4 linked regions of the Arabidopsis thaliana genome follow. The protein of the gene in region 1 interacts with the protein of each later gene in a pairwise test. Each region holds a gene or a part of one and is shown in the gene's direction. Other genes may lie near its edges.

Region 1 (5,854 bases):
ATCCATTTCTCTTCTTTTATGTACTTTGGTTTTTGTTATTCGAAAGATTTGTTTTTTTTTTCTTTCTCTTTACTAATATGCATATCATTTAAACATAATTTAATCATACCACTTGAATCTAGCAGCATATTGAGGAAAGAGGATTCTGATTCGAAACATATCATTAGGTCTGGTATTTCATCACTAATGGATAAGGGTATCTGATCTTAGTTGTTCAAATAAAAAGGGTTAATAAAAAGAAAATAATATTTGTATCCAATGATAAAAGTTAGATGTAAAGTTAAAAATAGCAATGCAAACATAATATAATAGTGGATCTATTTCTAAAAACGGTTAAATAATTTTCGTTATGGGACTAATTATTTTTTGTTACGGGACTAATTATTTTTCGTAATTATTTTTTACGATAGAGGACAAAACTTATTCTTTGTTACGGGACTAATTCTTTTTCCGTAACATATATATTTTTTTATATGGGATTGTCCAAATAATTAAGTGGAGATTCGAGTTTAAATTTTTGATTAAGATTTTCATAACAATTTGGAATTATGAAATATTGATTTTGTCTTATTTCCATTTTCTTAATTTTTTCTTCATGATTGTTGTTTACCTATTTTCTCAACTTTTTTTTAATTTACGTGACTCAAGAAAAAAAAAATAACTACGTTGTTATTTCTCTAGAATCTAAAAAAAATAACAAATATATAAAAATTCAAGAAATGAACATGAGTGTAGGAGACACATTTCGATTACAAATGAAACTGAACTTGACCAAAGAGAAAAAAGTAAGGCATGAAGAGTAAGACATAACTAATATGATTTTGAGTTAACCTCTAAGGTATTTCTAAACCCAAAAGGTAATTATAGACAAGTTACATGGCCTTGTTCATGTTCAAGGGCTAGGCAAACTAGATTTATAAGACCAGTCATCAGCAAGTCTCTTCTATATATATCAGATTTACGTTGCAAACTAAAGGTGGCATTAACCATCGAGTTTTTTTGACCTTTTTATTGTTCGACCCAAATAAATATACAATCGGTGTAAAGGACCTTAAAAGTTAAATAAAATGTTTAGTGTACACAATTCACCTGAACTAAGTTACAAATTGCTAAGTGATTAAGATTTCCCTAACCTAAAATACACGTGGTGTTAAGATTTATATAAGTTTTGCGTAGGTTTCAAATTCTATGTTTGTAACCTAAACTTTTTTTATTATCTATGAAATATTTACAATTTAGCAAAAACAATCGAATAAGATACACGTTGCATTAAGTGATTCGCTTAGTTGTGAATGATAAATGTTTTTTTCTAACATTGGGCTTTGGAAAATTTTATTAATAAATATTAGGGGAGAGTTAACTTCACTCATTGCATTTTTTTTTTCTTTTGGGAAAAGTCTTCACTCACTGCATAAGATATATGTATTGGAAGAAAGAGAGCGAGAGTTGAATTGTACAAAATGTTTTTCGTTTTTTGGCCGTAATGTGTAAAATAAATTGTCATCAGTTAAATAAAGAAAACAAGAACAATAAATGATCCAAATTTTATCATTGTTTCTACAAATAAATGACAAACATAAAGCCATTTCGTGCACACACTCTTAAAATTATTATATTCCATTAAGCAAAATTTTCCATACACATATATATGCTTTTTTTTTTTGTTTTGTTACTCGTATCTTTCCATTATAATATTCGAGAAGATACGTAGACGTATTATTGAGCGAACAAAATAATGCTATTTTTCCTTTTATAAATCTAACTTTTGATGACTATAAGAAGGACCATTTGCCATTTGGTTTTGTATGCTCAAACAAGTAACTCTTAGTCGTTCACGAAACATCTCATATATATCTAGAGAGAGAAACAAAACAATATATAGAGAATCTATATAGAATCATATAAGTGGTACATACCTCTCAAATCGAGGAAGAAAATGAAAGGAGGAAAGATGGATAAATTGAAGCCAATAATAGCAATCATATCACTCCAATTTGGATATGCAGGCATGTACATCATTACTATGGTCTCCTTCAAGCATGGCATGAACCATTGGATCCTTGCTACTTACCGACATGTCGTCGCCACAATTGTCATAGCTCCTTTTGCTCTCATTCTCGAGAGGTATGTATGTTAAATGATGTGTATGCATGCTTGTGTTGGTTCTTATATCTAGAGCCATGGTAGCTATTTATAAATGTAAGTGTCTCTGTATTAATTCATCGCATACTTTTTCAGGAAAATAAGGCCTAAGATGACATGGCCATTGTTCCTTAGGATTCTTGCCCTTGGATTCCTAGAGTAAGCTCCTCATACATATATCTTATCCCCTTTTCATGTCCATATATATATGCAAACACACATACACACACACATAAATATACGTGTATATATATATAGATATAAATTTATACGATGTTGGGGGTTTTCTATTTTATAAAGAATAATTCTTATTTTGCATTCCAAATATTTGAGGGTTTTGAGGACCTAAGATGAATGAAACAAAATGAGACTTTGATACATTTTCCCTGATAAAATGTGTCGTAAATTTATGAAATGATTAGAGATAATTAACGATTTCTTTTTAATTTATGAAATAACCAAAAATAATCACACAAAAGTACAAATTTCACCAATATAAAAATTGAAAGTTTTTAGAAATCGATTAATAATAAACTATTTTTTTTTTAATAAAAAATTTAAAATTTATTCGAAAAAACTGTATTACATCAGATGCAGCGTTTGCGTTAAGAATTTCTTAGATACAAACAAACAAGGATCAAAATAAAGATTTAATGTGTAGAGCTTCATTAGCGGGAACCAAACCAGAGTAATAAACTATTTCGATATAAGAATTAATTCAATAATTTTAACAAATCTTTTCATATCGATGAATCCTTAAATCATATAAAGGTAAAATATACCATATAAAAGAATATTATATACGAAGAATCTATACGAAAAGATTCTAGTCGTTTGGCAAAAATAAAAAAAGATTCTAGTCGTGAATATTCTTGATTAGATCATCACCCATTGCCGTCTTCTCATAGCTTTGTTTTCCTTTATCTTTTAATTTAACTTGAAGAGAATGATAACGAAAAAAAAAGAAAGAATATGATTGGTTAAGCAGAAGATGATGCAACATTAAAGCATATGATTAATAAATTTGTAAATGTTGGTTGTTTGTCTATTCAGACCACTTTTGGACCAGAACTTGTACTACATAGGAATGAAAGCCACGTCAGCAACGTATAGTTCTGCCTTTGTTAATGCACTTCCCGCCATTACCTTCATAATGGCTGTCATTTTCAGGTAAGTTTGCTTCTAATTACCAAAGACCAATCATATTAATCATTCTCTATATTTTTTACGTCATAATTTTATAGTTATTAATTCAAAAATTGCTTAAATTTTATTAGGATAGAAACTGTAAATTTGAAGAAGACACGAAGTCTTGCAAAAGTGATTGGAACAGCAATAACTGTGGGAGGAGCAATGGTTATGACGTTGTACAAAGGTCCAGCCATTGAGCTCTTTAAGACTGCTCATAGCTCTTTACACGGCGGCTCCTCGGGCACCTCCTCCGAGACCACTGATCAGAATTGGGTTACCGGAACTCTAGCGGTTATGGGTAGTATCACCACTTGGGCAGGTTTCTTCATTCTACAAGTAAGCAAACATTAGTTACTTATATTCCAAATTGGTGTGTTTACATTAATTAGTAAATGTGTTATACCATACTATTATAGTTATTCTGATCACTATAACATAACAAAGAGTGGTACCAAATCTCCATTTTGACTAGGCCTAGGCAAAATAGCCAAACCCGAAGAACCAAACCGAACCCGACCCGAAAAACCCGATCTGAATTCGAACCCAAAACTTTAAAATACCCGAACGGATCCTAAACTTCAAAACCCGAACCCGATCCGAACCTAAATACTCGATCAAGTACCCGAACATATCCGAAATATATATACATAGAAAATAATTCATTAGTAATAATCACATTTACAACAACTTAAATGTCTAAAATATTTGGATTCTAAAATATATATACATAAAACATTTACAATAGAAAATTTTGAGTTTTGGATACTCCGGGTTTACCCGAATCCGAACCCGAAAAACCCGATCCGAATCCGAACCGAACCCGAAGTCTTAAAATACCCGAACGGATCTTAGATTTCTAAATCCGAAAAACCCGATCCGAACCCGAACCGAATACCCGAACGCCCATGCCTAATTTTGACTACAAAGTGGCAATAGAAAAAAAACATATATAATTTACAAATTAGTCTATGCTTTAAGATAAGATTTTACATGGTACTAAGATTGAAATATTTTCAGTCGTTCACGTTGAAAAAATATCCGGCTGAGCTTTCGCTAGTGATGTGGATTTGTGCCATGGGAACGGTCTTAAACACCATCGCTTCGCTCATAATGGTGCGCGACGTAAGCGCATGGAAAGTCGGTATGGACTCGGGCACACTTGCGGCTGTTTACTCCGTAAGTACTTTTGACCGTTTACTACTAAACCAATCTTTTTATAATCATGGTCATAACTCACAAGTGTTAAGTACTTAATATCAGGGAGTGGTTTGTTCGGGTATGGCGTATTACATACAAAGCATTGTGATTAGGGAACGAGGTCCGGTTTTTACGACATCGTTTAGTCCTATGTGCATGATCATCACTGCTTTCCTCGGCGTGTTAGTTTTGGCTGAAAAGATTCACCTTGGAAGGTAAATATACATTATAGAATTAATGATATTCTAATCATATACAACTTACACGGCTATGATCAATAGTACAAACAACTATATTGCATTCATTAGGTAACTAATTAGTTGTTTAATTTTGTATATTGCAGTATAATCGGGGCGATTTTTATCGTCTTCGGGCTATATAGCGTTGTGTGGGGGAAAGCTAAGGACGAAGTGATATCGGTGGAAGAGAAAATAGGAATGCAGGAGCTGCCGATCACCAACACATCGACAAAAGTGGAGGGTGGTGGTATTACCAGTGAAGTAAACGAAGGTGTGACTAACAATACCCAAGTGTAACCCCAATAAAGCAATTAAGAGAAATTTTTGAAGACCAAATTTCCAAGAAAGGAAATTTGTTTGTCTTTCTTGTTTGTTTTATGCTGTTTACATTTTCAAGTTATCTGTGTTGATTCAACTATATAACGAATGTTGTATATTTTCTGTAATTGTCGAATATCACGGAAGTTGAAGAAATTTCAATTTGGTAATTTTTGTTTTTGTTTGAATTTACAATATATGCACCAAAAAAGACGGTTTTACAATAAATATTGCAACATTAAGCCGATAAATTTTGAAAACATAATAGACCAAAACGTATAACATATAACTAGTTTAATTTGAAATAAATGTCGATCGTTAGACGCCAAATATAAGATTATTGTTGATAAGTATCTTTCAAAACCTATGAACATGAAAAAGTTAGTTGAAATTGTGATTACGAAATATTTAGGAAGATTTACAAGTTAAAGTTCAAGAAATGTTAGGACTAGAACATATTATTCATGAAGGTCAAATTTAGGTTGAGAGAGATTAAGAATTTAGTAGCCGAAATAGTCTATCAAGAAGCATTTGTTATTCGATCTATGTTAACGATTACGAGTTTCCTCGTTGTAACTCAATTTTGTGTGTAGTTAATGTATGATATATTTGTCGTGAATTATTCGATCAAAGACGGAATTGGAAAATGAGTTAGGGCCAAATGAAGCAAACATATTGGGGAAAAAACTGACAAAATCATATCCCTTCTAAATTTCAGATGAAAACTAATTCAGTGTTATAATGCAAGCCTTAAAATTCATATCCTA
Region 2 (4,362 bases), on another chromosome or scaffold:
ACTGATGTGTGTTTCTTTTCCTACTTCTTAAAGTTGTGCTCTTTCCTATTTCTATAAGCTCTTGTGGATAACAACAGTTGATTAACGTTCTTATGCTTGTTTAGGGTACAACAAGAATGGAAGAAGAGTATGAGAGTCGTCGATTGAGGAGATGGGAAGAGTTGGACACTGACATCTTAGTAAGAATTTTCCAGAAGTTTAGCGTCTTTGAGTTGACTTCGGGATTAGCTCATGTTTGTAGAGGATGGAGAGCTGCTTGTTGCGATCCGATTCTTTGGAAGACGGTGGATTTGTCAAACATGAGATCTAGTTTCATCAAGATCCCATTAGAGCCTTATGTCTATGTGGAACGCCGATCTGATGAGGCCCTAACCCGCATCCTGAAACTCTCCATGAACCTTAGCGGAGGAAGCACGAGGACCTTGATTTTTCATTTCAACTTGTTCTTGAGTGATGATCAGCTTACTTACACCGCAGAAAGGTATGTCCTTTTCGTTCTTCCACTTATTTGTCTTCCAAATTGTTTCATCATGGCCGTAAACTATGGTTTTTTAGTCAAAAGTTGGTTCAGTTTTTGGTTTGGTTAAGTTCATGTACCCACTTTCAGTCAAAATTGCTGAATTACAATTAAGCTGAATCTCGCAAATGCTAAAAGTTGAAAAATTTGTTGTACTGAATATTTTGCAGGTGTCCAGGGTTGAGACGGGTCGTCCTACCGGCTTGGAACAGAATAAAGAAGACTGGTATATGCAAAGCGATAAGAATCTGGAAAGATCTAGAGTCACTAACAATGCCAAGCATCGCAAACCCGCCTTATCTCTTAACAGAAATTGCCAAGAACTGCAAGAATTTTAAAGAGCTGAAGATCATGGGTCCATTCGAGGTCTTCTTTGCAAACACGCTCATCACTTGCCTCCCAAACATCAAAACACTCAGCATCAGATGCTCGGCGATAAAGCGGGAAGCACTGATGAAAATCCTTGACGGATTACCAAGCCTTGAAGTGCTCAACATATCACACTCTCACCTAGTGGAGTACAGCGGTTGGCAGCCTCAGCAGAAGGTGATTGTTAGAGAGCTCGATAAGACGATAATGGAGAAAACAGCAAGGCTAAAGAAATTCTTGACTTGCATGGATCACAAGACGTGTGTGATGTGTCAGAGGACTGAAAACGATGAAGGGATTGTGAGATGGTACAAGTATGAGGAAGGAGACTGGAAGGTTGATGAAGTGAGTTCTCTTCATCTTTGATGTTTCTGCTGTGATCATTCTCTGTGAAGGACTTAACTTGTTATTGTTCTCATCTTTGACTGTTGAATTGTTTATTTCTTTGTGTTGTTTGTTTTGATTTGAATCGTATTATGTGTATATATCTGTAGGCTATGCCAATGAATGTCTGTAGTGATCAACTTTTGATCACCACCAACCTTGCACACCAAATAGGAAAATAAAACAATATTGTTACAATTATTTGTCTTGATATTAGCATTATTAGTCACATTTGTTTTGCAAATCATCTACCTTTTTTTTTTGGTCTATATCTTATTCTTCTTAGTTCTTACCTACCAGTCTTCTCCGGCGGCATTAACGACACCGTTTTATCGAGCTCAGCCACCACTAGTTAGGTAACGATATATATTCTTAAAAACGTTTAGAAAATTTCTATGTATGTTTCACACGAACAAAAAGAAAATATTTTTCAGACATCAACGGTCATTATGGACGACGACTGTTAAACAAAATCGTTTAAAATTCTTGTTGCGTAATTTGACCATTTTATTTTATTTTATACCAAAAATTGAAGATATTATATATATGTTTTAATTCGATCGCAAATAAATCTGAAAATTAAAACACAAAACGTTACTCTTCTCTCTCATTCTCTTTCGCTTCTCGATAGCTTCTCAAATCATGGTTCAGCAAATATGGGAGACGTTGAAGGAAACAATCACAGCTTACACTGGACTTTCTCCAGCTGCGTTTTTCACCGTACTTGCTCTCGCTTTCGCCGTTTACCAAGTCGTCTCCGGTTTCTTCGTTTCTCCTGAAGTTCACCGACCTCGTTCTTTGGAGGTTCAGCCTCAATCGGAGCCTCTTCCACCGCCGGTTCAGCTCGGAGAAATCACTGAGGAGGAGCTTAAGCTTTATGATGGCTCCGATTCTAAAAAGCCCCTTCTTATGGCGATCAAGGGCCAGATCTATGATGTTTCTCAGAGCAGGTATTTCTTGTGAAATCTTTACTTGTTCATTAAATTATGATTGAATCCAAATGATCACTAGTTAAATTACCAGTAATAAACGATTCAACCCAATAGTTTCGAGATTTGGGGTTTAGGTTAGTTAATCATGGTTGACTGTTTGATTTATAATCCGAAGTTTCCAATTACTATCTATCTTATGATTCTAGTATATCTACTGATGCTCGAACTCTAGTTTAAGTGATTCTTTATTGTAAAACTGAACACTTTTAGTAAATCTTTTTGATGAATATTCTCTCCTTTTTGTTCATAATCTTATGATGCTCTTTTTATTGCTTTTTGCATCTTAGTGTTTGTTTTTTCACTTCTTTTCTTGGAACAATACCATTAGAAGCACTGATACAATTGTATTGTATTCAAGTTATCGGAAAGATCTCTACTTTTTCTTATACTAGAAAAACCTGTATTTAGATTACATCTTGGATTAGTAGAGATTGATAACGTACAAACTCGTCAAAGGTTTGGCTTCTAATATTGCTATTGTGGCGAAAGAGATCGTTCACTGATTAATTATCCACATTTGCTTGCTATTTGTGTTCCATGACGTTTGTAAATTAAGTTTTGGCGAACATTGTTGGTATGTAACCATGCTGCAGTTGTCTAGATCCCTGACTTGTCAACTAGACAGTTCTTTTACATTCCAGTTACCGAAAACTTCGTTGTGGTAATTAGGTTTTGTGCTAGATGAAATAATCACTTCAGTGATCATACCGTTTTGCTTGTTCATAGTGGCGACAGACACAGACACACTCATCAACGCATATACATGTCGATGTATATGTATGCATAACTTTTAGTTTTTTTCTTGTACATAGTTCATCAGCTGTACTACATATCTAGATGAATCATATTCATATGTGCCAAGCTGTAGTTTTTCATTCTTCAAACTCTACTTAACTCTTACTGGTCGCTAATTTGCATGACCATCTGTTCTTTTTATGCAGGATGTTTTATGGACCAGGTGGGCCATATGCTCTGTTTGCAGGGAAAGATGCAAGCCGAGCTCTGGCAAAGATGTCATTTGAGGACCAAGACTTGACTGGAGACATCTCAGGTCTCGGTGCATTTGAGCTAGAGGCGTTACAAGACTGGGAGTACAAGTTCATGAGCAAGTATGTCAAAGTCGGAACCATTCAAAAGAAGGATGGAGAAGGCAAAGAAAGTTCAGAACCTTCCGAAGCAAAGACTGCCTCTGCGGAAGGTCTTTCTACAAACACTGGAGAAGAAGCTTCAGCAATTACCCATGATGAAACTTCTAGAAGCACAGGCGAGAAAATCGCGGAAACCACGGAGAAGAAAGATGTTGCAACTGATGATGATGATGCTGCAAAGGAGTAAAGTCAATGTAATGAGAGGCACAGTTTCTCTTGAGAAATTAGTGAGATTTTTCAGGGTTTAAGTATGAGTCGTATATAGCTCAATAAAAATGGTGACCTTGTGTGTACTTTTTGGATCTTGTATAATGACATCTAATTCTGGTTATGGAAGCTTCAAAATACATTATTTCTACAGTATTAATCGATAAACAGTTCTATAATTCAGGGTTTGTTCACTTGTTGTTTATGCTTAGTTCATATTTGACATCCTGCTATGTGCCTGGTAATTGAAGATGGTTCAATTCCTAAAATCGAAGCACCAACTTACATTTGATGGTAGGTCTGTTGCCGAACCGAAGTGAAGAATTTGCAATAATTTTGGTTTCGGTTTGGAACCTTCAAACCGACCGGTTTCGAATTATTATTGAACCAAATTTTCAAAATTCAAATATCTTGTCAAATCATTTTCTTCCCTCTTTCTGTCTCTGTCTCTCTCTCTCGCTCGATCTCGAAGGTGAAGCTATGGGAGTGAAGTATCTTTGGGATGTCTTGGAGCCTTGTAAGAAGACTTTCCCACTCGATCATCTTCAGTGAGTTGTTTCTTCGTCTCAATTTCTCTTTAATTTTTCTGGGTGTTTAAAAAGACCAAGTCTTTACGAGATCTTCGTAATCGCTGTAGAAACAAAAGGGTATGCGTGGATCTTTCGTGTTGGATGGTGGAATTGCATAAAGTGAACAAATCTTATTGCGCCACTAAAGAAAAAGTTTATCTTCGAGGATTTTTTCA
Region 3 (4,071 bases), on another chromosome or scaffold:
AACAGGCTCCACGCGCTTGGTACCAAGAGTTGAGAAATTTTGTTTGCTCGTTGGGATTCACCAATTCTCTCGCTGATACATCAGTGTTTGTTTACATCAACGACATCCAAATCGTCTACTGCTTGGTCTATGTTGATGACATTATTGTCACGGGAAGTAGTGATGCGTTGGTAATGGCTTTCATCACCGCTCTTTCTCGGCGATTCTCGTTGAAGGACCCGACGGATTTGGTATATTTTCTTGGTATAGAGGCAACAAGAACCTCACAAGGTCTTCATTTGATGCAGCATAAATATGTTTATGACTTGTTGTCTAGGATGAAGATGTTAGATGCCAAACCGGTGTCCACACCAATGGCGACACATCCTAAACTTTCACTCTACTCTGGCATTGCTCTAGACGAACCCGGAGAATACAGGACAGTGATCGGCAGCTTGCAATACTTGGCGTTTACACGACCGGATATTGCGTATGCTGTGAATCGATTATCACAATTTATGCATCGTCCCACAGACATTCATTGGCAGGCTGCAAAACGCGTCCTTCGATATCTTGCGGGAACTGCTACTCATGGTATATTACTTCGCTCAAACTCTCCTCTCTCGCTTCATGCATTCTCCGATGCTGATTGGGCTGGGGACAATGACGATTTTGTTTCCACCAATGCATATATTGTGTATCTTGGCTCTACACCCATAGCTTGGAGCTCGAAGAAACAAAAGGGAGTCGCACGTTCTTCCACCGAGGCCGAGTACAGGGCTGTTGCAAACACAACTTCAGAAATTAGATGGGTATGCTCTCTTCTTACTGAGTTAGGCATCACATTACCAAAGATGCCTGTGATATATTGTGACAATGTTGGTGCCACATATCTCTCTGCAAATCCGGTTTTCCATTCAAGAATGAAGCATCTAGCATTGGACTATCATTTTATTCGCGACAATGTGAGTGCCGGTGCACTACGAGTCTCTCACATATCAACACATGACCAACTTGCCGATGCTCTAACCAAGCCATTGCCTCGTCAACACTTTCTTCAGTTTTCAAGCAAGATTGGAGTGAGCAAACTCCCTCCATCTTGAGGGGGCATGTAGAGTATATAAGTAAAGGATAGTTTAGTAAATCATTAATCCCTAATTCATTCTAATGTAGTCCCTATATATATTGTAATTATATCATCTAATGAATTATTCAGCCTTCAATACTATAGTTTGATCATGTGCTTACTTTCCCTTCATTTGCGATACTTCAAGGTTCTTGCTGCCACTGTTTCTTTGAATGCGTCACATGTTTGAACATGTGTGTTCTTTTTGGATCGAAGCTTAGCTCTTTAGATGGAACTGAATAAGTAAAAGAGGTCACTGGATAAGCTCTGTTACTAGAATAATAGGAGGGCTTCTGCTTCACATTTGTAATCCTCTCTCTTTCTCTGAATTGATGTTGCAATTGCTTGTCATCAGTATCTGTATTTCCATAGATAACTGAACTCATTAAAGGGCAACCGAAGCTGCTTCGTGGTTTATGTTTCTTCTTTGTGGGCTATTTTGCTTTGCACTTTCACTTGTTTCTTAGTTTTGGTTTGATTTTTCATACTGGGCCCTGAGCAAAACAATTTTAGTTATATGACTTGTGAAACTTAAATGGGTTTTAATCGAATGGTAACTTCATCTAATTTGTTTGAATAATTCATCATGGACCTTAATGATAATATCTTGAGTCTACTAATCATTTCACAAATCCTTTCATTTTCCAACAGCAAGTAGCCTGATTTTTGAACCTCAGCGATAGACAGCTTAAAGTGCGGTCATTCTCGCAAAAAGCTATCAGTCTTTATTTGATTCACGAACATTATACACGAAAGTCAAAATTAAATAACCAAAAAAATTAAACAAAAAGCAAACAAGAAAACGACTTCTCTGGTATGATTGGAACAAATTTAATAGAGAGAGAGGTTAGATAAGAATGTGGTAGAAGATAAGACCCAACTACGCGTCATAACTGGGTCCCATCTTTGTCTCTTTCCCTTCTTCACTCGCCAACCCCATCGCGTGTCCCCACGCTCCTTCCCTTTACTTTTTCTCGTTATCCAAAACACGACGATTCTTCATTTTAGATTTTTTTCATTAATAAAAAAAAAAAAGTCTTTTATTGCAGAAATTTCGATCGTTTTTGTTGTGTGTACAGAGAGATTATCGTGTTTTGTTGGCAATCGCCATTAAACCTTCTTCCCTCTAACCCAATCAAATTTGCGGCTCTTTCTTTTATCTTCTCGCCTCGGTTTTAGCAAACCCTTTAGTTATCTTCTTCCTCAAGCAATTTTTCTTTTGGATTAGATTGGTGTTTTCTTTTGGTTTGTGTGGTGATGATGAGAAGGCAACGAGATGAACAACAATCTAGGGTTTTCTACGATCTATCATCTCTTGTTTTGAATCTTCTCCGTTCTCCTCCTATGCCGATTTCTTTACCTGATCATTTCCCCGATCCGCCCGCTAGAATTCGTCCTCCCTTTTCTTCGCATCGTTTTTCGTCTTCTTCGCCTTCTTTGGCTCATATTTCTCCGTCTGGATTCGCGTCGTTGCTGCTTGGTATATCTGTGGCTCTTATGCTATGTGGATCTGTGACTTTCTTCATCGGGTTTCTCTTGATGCCTTGGGTTCTTGCTCTGATTTTGGTTTTCTATGTCGCTGGCATCGTTTCTGCCATTTCTATGGTCGGGAGGTCGATTCTCTGTTACGTCTTGACGCCACCTTCTCCTTCCGGAAAGGAGATTTCTGGTAATTTTGTTGAATTTTAGGGTTAAGTTTGTCAAATTGGTTTCAATGATTCAAGCTTTCTACTTTCGTCTCGGATCTGTTTAGATTTTAACCAAAGTTTCCTTATTGATCATCTAGAAATGATTCCACTGGGTTTTGGTTCTGTCCTTATTTTGATAGAAATGGAGGTTCGAATTAGGGTTTTATTGAAAAGCACACCGATGTTTGTTCTGTCTTTGACTGAAACGATATTGTTCTTTTGTTTCCTCGTGGATCATATTATTCATGTTCACATTACTTTTGTTGTCTGAAATTAAACCTATGTTTGTATTAGTTTCATGTTCTTGCAATAATGTTTGTGTTTGACATGTCTATTCGCAGAATGGAAGCTTCTGTGAAATGATTAAACAACAGAGGTGAAGAATCTATACATCATCCGGAAGCAGAGCAGAGCGAAGCAGAACAAAAAAAAGAAGAAGAAGGATTGATTATATAAACACATATATCCGATAGAGTTTTTCTATGTTCTTTATCTGTATTTTGTTGGGGGGGTTTGGGAAAATCATGTGGATATCAGGGAGTTTTATATTTCTTTACATTTCGAAAAAAGAATTTTTCTATTTAACTACTGTTAGAAATAGAGAAGCCTTGTTATTTGTGCTTTCATGTATGTCGTTTTTATGTAACATGATCATTTCTTAAAGCATACAAAAAGATTTTAGGATTTCTGTTGCACTTCTTTCGATTTCCTTGCATTTTCGAAACACTCTGTGTTGATATCTCTTCCTTTAAATCTTCTTACAATATTTGCTCATTCTTGATCTCTTTTATGGTTTTAAATAATTGTCTCTTCAAGTTCACACGGAATCTAGTGTGAATCGAGGTTTAGTCGTGCAGAGTTGTGTGTGTTATTACATGTTTTATTATTGTTTAAGTATATTTATTTAGTGGAGGACTATACGCTATTTGCACATCTCAATGTCAAATTGCTCAAAAATGGTAGAGGTGCCGTGCCGTCAATAGATGTCACGTGTCCTGACTTGCCTTCTCAATACAAACAAAAATACTCTCTACCTAAAAAAACACAATAAACAACAAACGCATCTTTGGAGCGGCGGTGAGATTAGAGAAGAAGGGTTTGTGAAATGGAGTCCAGTGAGGATGTGGAGAATCTGAGTAGAGCTATTGAGAAGCTTCTTCATGAGAAGAGGAAGAGAGAAGCTTCTGGTGACGCCTTCATTGAAGACGCTGATGATCAGCTTTTCCTCTCTAGCCTTATCTCTCAGGTACTTTACCATCGCTCTGTTTTCTCCTTTGT
Region 4 (4,172 bases), on another chromosome or scaffold:
AAATGCTCCAAAATCTTGAGATTGTTATTAGCTTTAATAGCGTAACCAATAACAGATCTCACTCCTTCCAAAGCCTCTTTATAAGCCTCAAGGTTTCTCGTGATCTGAGGTTTGCTATATAAGTAAAAGGGTCGTTTCTCGACTGTTTCCATGATATCTTGAACCTTGGTTCCTTCGCAATAGAGAAACCCATCTGATGATTTCTTGAAACAGTGGTCGAAAGAGGAAGCAGATTCTTTCGTGAGGGTTTTGGTGGAGTTTTGGGAAACGGCGGCTTTGACGGAGAGGCGTTTAAGTGGCTTCAATGTTGACTTGAGAGACAAAAATGGGATTCTTGAGAGTGAAGTCTGATTCAATTGGTACTGATTTAGGGTTCCGCGGATTGATGAAGGTTGGGAGAGAAATTGAGTAACTGCCGCCATGGCTGGAGGATTTTTGTTAGGTGTGCGACTGTTACAGTAACACTGAAGGGTTTAGAAAAAAAAAGTCAACAAGTTTAAGAGTAGTTCCTGTCGGGTCCGGTTTTAGATATCCGACAATATCGAACCGGTGGTTATAGTCGAACCGATGGTTAAAAGAAGAAAGAACAAAGTCGATTTTAACTTCTTTTGGATATGGTTTTTGTCCTTGGGGGATAGTTTCTGCTAGTGTTTGTTTTGTTCGGTTGTGTTAGTTGTGTGTTGTAATAATCTTGATGCTTAAGGGGTCACCTAAAGCAGTCATGGAAATCTAGCCCTATCTATAAAAATTTGCCATTTCTCATCACCTACCAATACTTCTATTTGTTCGTATTATGCGGATATTCAGAGGATAATGTAAAACATTTTGTTGAATGCTAACGATGAAGTGCTCTATCTAGCCGTGCACGTTGTGGAGAAGTTATGTTTTAGAATCCACATTTGTTGAAGTTATGCTTATCATACTCTCTTAATTATCTATATCTATTACAAAGAGCAAGGAATGTTCTTAGTTAGGATTTGTTTTGTTTGGCAACCATTGCTTCTGGTTATTTGTGCTCTGCCTCCTTTGTAAGTTAGGATTTGTTTTATTCTTACAACTTTGCTTCTCTCGTCATACTATATAATCTCTGACTATGTATGTAATTGCATTCATGTCGATGGTTGTGGGATGTATATTTAGGTGTTTGACTGTAAGACGTTAAAAACAAACTTTACCATAAGTTATTGGGATGTCTAGACACTTTTATGGTTTGGTGAAGTAGGCTCAATGTTTTGCCCTTTATGTTTCCATTGTTGATGTTTATGTACCTTGCTGGTTGGAACCACTTGTGGATGTTTCCGACAATGCTTCTCTGTAATGCAGTTATCTTTTAATGAAATGTGATCGATCTTGAGTGTTATTTATTTTTATTTTTTTAAAGACTTTATGGTGTGGACACTTGACCGGGTGATAATTGGTAACTATACTACATAGTTAGAGAGCTCTTGAATTATTAATCACGCTAAATCTTGGGAATTGAGAGCTCGGAAGCAAAGGTTATTAACAAAATTCAAAGCAGAGCAGCATTGCCGATGAAATAATTATTGACTTGGGATTTACTCTCTGAAGTCTGAACCAAATCGAGATTATTCTAATTATATTTTTAATTTCGGATCCCTAATCTATTAATACTCCAATATCTGCACTCATTTAATTATTTCCTCTTTTTTTAACCTGCACTGACTTAAATTCAAACTTATTTCAATTGCGTGCACACTTTAGTGAACTACTACCACTATCACTATATGTGTCGGTGGATTATTATTTCCGTCATTTTGATATTTAATTACATCTTTAATTGTTACTCTTTTTTGCCCATTCTTCTTCTTCATTTGATTACATTATACTCTATTGTGAATTACTAAATTCTGAAAACAAGAAAAATTTGAGTACACAGGACACATCTTAGTATTACTCGTTACTAAAATACTACACGTGTAAATAATTTTTTCAGAAATAAATGGGGCCACTTTGTAAGTAATAAATCAGCTTACATTAATTATTTTACCACCCAATAAAAAGATTCCACAGACTTGGCATGGAAGTCATGAACATTCACAAAAATCTAAGAAAAACTGAAAACCGAAAAAAAAACAAATTATTAAAAAGCAATAAATAAATAAACTCAGAAAAAAAAGCTATTAAGATTCCACAAAAACTCTGTATTGTCTCTTTCTCTCTCACTATCTCTCTCTCTTTTGTGAGCTCAGATCTGACCAGAGAGAAAGAAACAACCGGAGAAGAAGAAGATGACTGACCGAGTCTTCCCAGCTTCCAAACCACCAACCGCCACTAATGGAGCTCCACCAGTTGGTTCCATACCACCTCCTCCAGCTCCGGCGACTGTAACCAGCAACGGAACAACAAACGGAATGGCTAATCAGAAACCTCAAGTCTACATTCCAGCTAACCGTCCGGTTTACCGTCCACAGCCTTACAGTCGCCGTCATCACCACCAATCTCGACCAAGCTGCCGACGAATTTGCTGTTGTTGCTGTTTCTGGTCGATTCTGATAATTCTGATCTTAGCTCTCATGACTGCAATCGCCGCCACCGCGATGTACGTGATCTACCACCCTCGTCCGCCGTCGTTCTCCGTCCCGTCAATAAGAATCAGCCGCGTGAACCTAACAACCTCCTCTGATTCCTCCGTCTCTCATCTCTCTTCCTTCTTCAACTTCACTCTAATCTCAGAGAATCCAAACCAACACCTCTCTTTCTCTTACGATCCTTTCACCGTCACCGTTAATTCAGCTAAATCCGGTACGATGCTCGGTAACGGAACTGTTCCTGCTTTCTTCAGCGATAACGGTAACAAAACTTCGTTTCACGGCGTGATCGCTACGTCTACAGCGGCGCGTGAGTTAGATCCGGATGAAGCTAAGCATCTGAGATCAGATCTGACGCGCGCGCGTGTAGGATATGAGATCGAGATGAGAACTAAAGTGAAGATGATAATGGGGAAGCTGAAGAGTGAAGGAGTAGAGATCAAAGTGACATGTGAAGGATTTGAAGGAACTATACCAAAAGGTAAAACTCCAATTGTAGCTACTTCTAAAAAAACTAAGTGTAAGTCTGATCTTAGTGTCAAGGTCTGGAAATGGAGTTTCTAGAGGGAATTTTGATAATTTCACAATTGAAATTTTCTATATAATCTTCTTCTTTTTTTCTTCTGGATTTTGTGAAACTTTTGGAATGATCCAAAAGGAGATTTCTTCAGTTGTTAGTTAAAAAATTTCAGAGAAGAGTCAGAGAGATAAGGTATTGTCAAGTAGAAGAAGGCCAGAGAATTCACGGCTTCTAAAAAAATTTCTTGGATTTTTGTTTTGTTTGGAACTTTCTTACTTGAATTTATATTTAATGGATACAGAAATATAAATGTAATACTTGTAACGAATGGAGTACTAAAAAGCTGGAGATTGCAGTGACTGCGTGATAGTGAGCATTAAAGTGAGATCGTAGTAGTAATAAACAGAACCTTAAAAATGGAAAAGATGCGTGGGGTTTGTGAGGAGAACAATGAAGAACACGAGAGATGTGTTAAATGTTAGATGTTGAACCATCTATCGCATTATACAACACCATTTAAGAGAAACGTGAATCGTCTTTAGTACTCTATAAAGCAAGCATATATTCTAGCAGTTGCATGTTATAAAATTAATACAGATCGATCACTCAATTCATGAATATGGTTTGATATAAACATTAAATTAAATGTCATGCTGTCATAAAAGATGAATTATATGGTTCATTTATCTAAGAAACTTTTTATTAACTAAGTAAGTAAAAGTTTGAAGAGGTCATTTGCAAGTGACTCCGACCAGGGATAGACTCCTGAAATCTTATCCAACTATGGACGACGACTTCATGTCGGTGTGTCCAAAAATGAGGAAAAGGAATCTGCCCAAGGGACAAATGGCATTACCCGAAACGGCAAAGAAGAACCGCAGGAAAAAAAGTTGACAATAACGTATGAGGTGTGACTGAAAAAGAAAAACTTGTAGTTTGGTTTATGACGTAAATGAATAATTTGGAAATGACAATAAGTCATCATATCTAATTTAGTGCATGACCTCCAACGTCGGCATATATTTGAGTCGGTGACCGGATATCCAGTACAAAGTAAAGTACAAACCAAAAAGAAAGACAAGACAATAAAATGGGTAAAGAAG

Evidence for each region.
Region 2: the proteins of UMAMIT17 (region 1) and MAPR3 interact in a protein complementation assay, tested with the Arabidopsis thaliana proteins (one large-scale study listed by BioGRID).
Region 3: the proteins of UMAMIT17 (region 1) and AT1G27290 interact in a protein complementation assay, tested with the Arabidopsis thaliana proteins (one large-scale study listed by BioGRID).
Region 4: the proteins of UMAMIT17 (region 1) and EMB3135 interact in a protein complementation assay, tested with the Arabidopsis thaliana proteins (one large-scale study listed by BioGRID).

Annotation. Positions count from the first base shown.
Region 1 is NC_003075.7:5,243,088-5,248,941, forward strand, and holds UMAMIT17 (nodulin MtN21 /EamA-like transporter family protein), read left to right. Parts: upstream 1-1,777; 5' UTR 1,778-1,936; coding exon 1,937-2,124; intron 2,125-2,238; coding exon 2,239-2,301; intron 2,302-3,195; coding exon 3,196-3,312; intron 3,313-3,419; coding exon 3,420-3,669; intron 3,670-4,350; coding exon 4,351-4,509; intron 4,510-4,593; coding exon 4,594-4,745; intron 4,746-4,873; coding exon 4,874-5,066; 3' UTR 5,067-5,307; downstream 5,308-5,854.
Region 2 is NC_003074.8:18,127,757-18,132,118, forward strand, and holds MAPR3 (membrane-associated progesterone binding protein 3), read left to right. Parts: upstream 1-1,695; 5' UTR 1,696-1,912; coding exon 1,913-2,220; intron 2,221-3,203; coding exon 3,204-3,597; 3' UTR 3,598-3,836; downstream 3,837-4,362. Other genes in the region: AT3G48880 (RNI-like superfamily protein), read left to right, coding at 117-481, 688-1,252; AT3G48900 (single-stranded DNA endonuclease family protein), read left to right, coding at 4,098-4,165, 4,255-4,362.
Region 3 is NC_003070.9:9,479,426-9,483,496, forward strand, and holds AT1G27290 (uncharacterized protein), read left to right. Parts: upstream 1-1,979; 5' UTR 1,980-2,362; coding exon 2,363-2,774; intron 2,775-3,134; coding exon 3,135-3,151; 3' UTR 3,152-3,567; downstream 3,568-4,071. Other genes in the region: AT1G27300 (uncharacterized protein), read left to right, coding at 3,899-4,039.
Region 4 is NC_003076.8:3,829,521-3,833,692, forward strand, and holds EMB3135 (harpin-induced protein), read left to right. Parts: upstream 1-1,979; 5' UTR 1,980-2,249; coding exon 2,250-3,113; 3' UTR 3,114-3,631; downstream 3,632-4,172. Other genes in the region: AT5G11880 (Pyridoxal-dependent decarboxylase family protein), read right to left, coding at 1-422.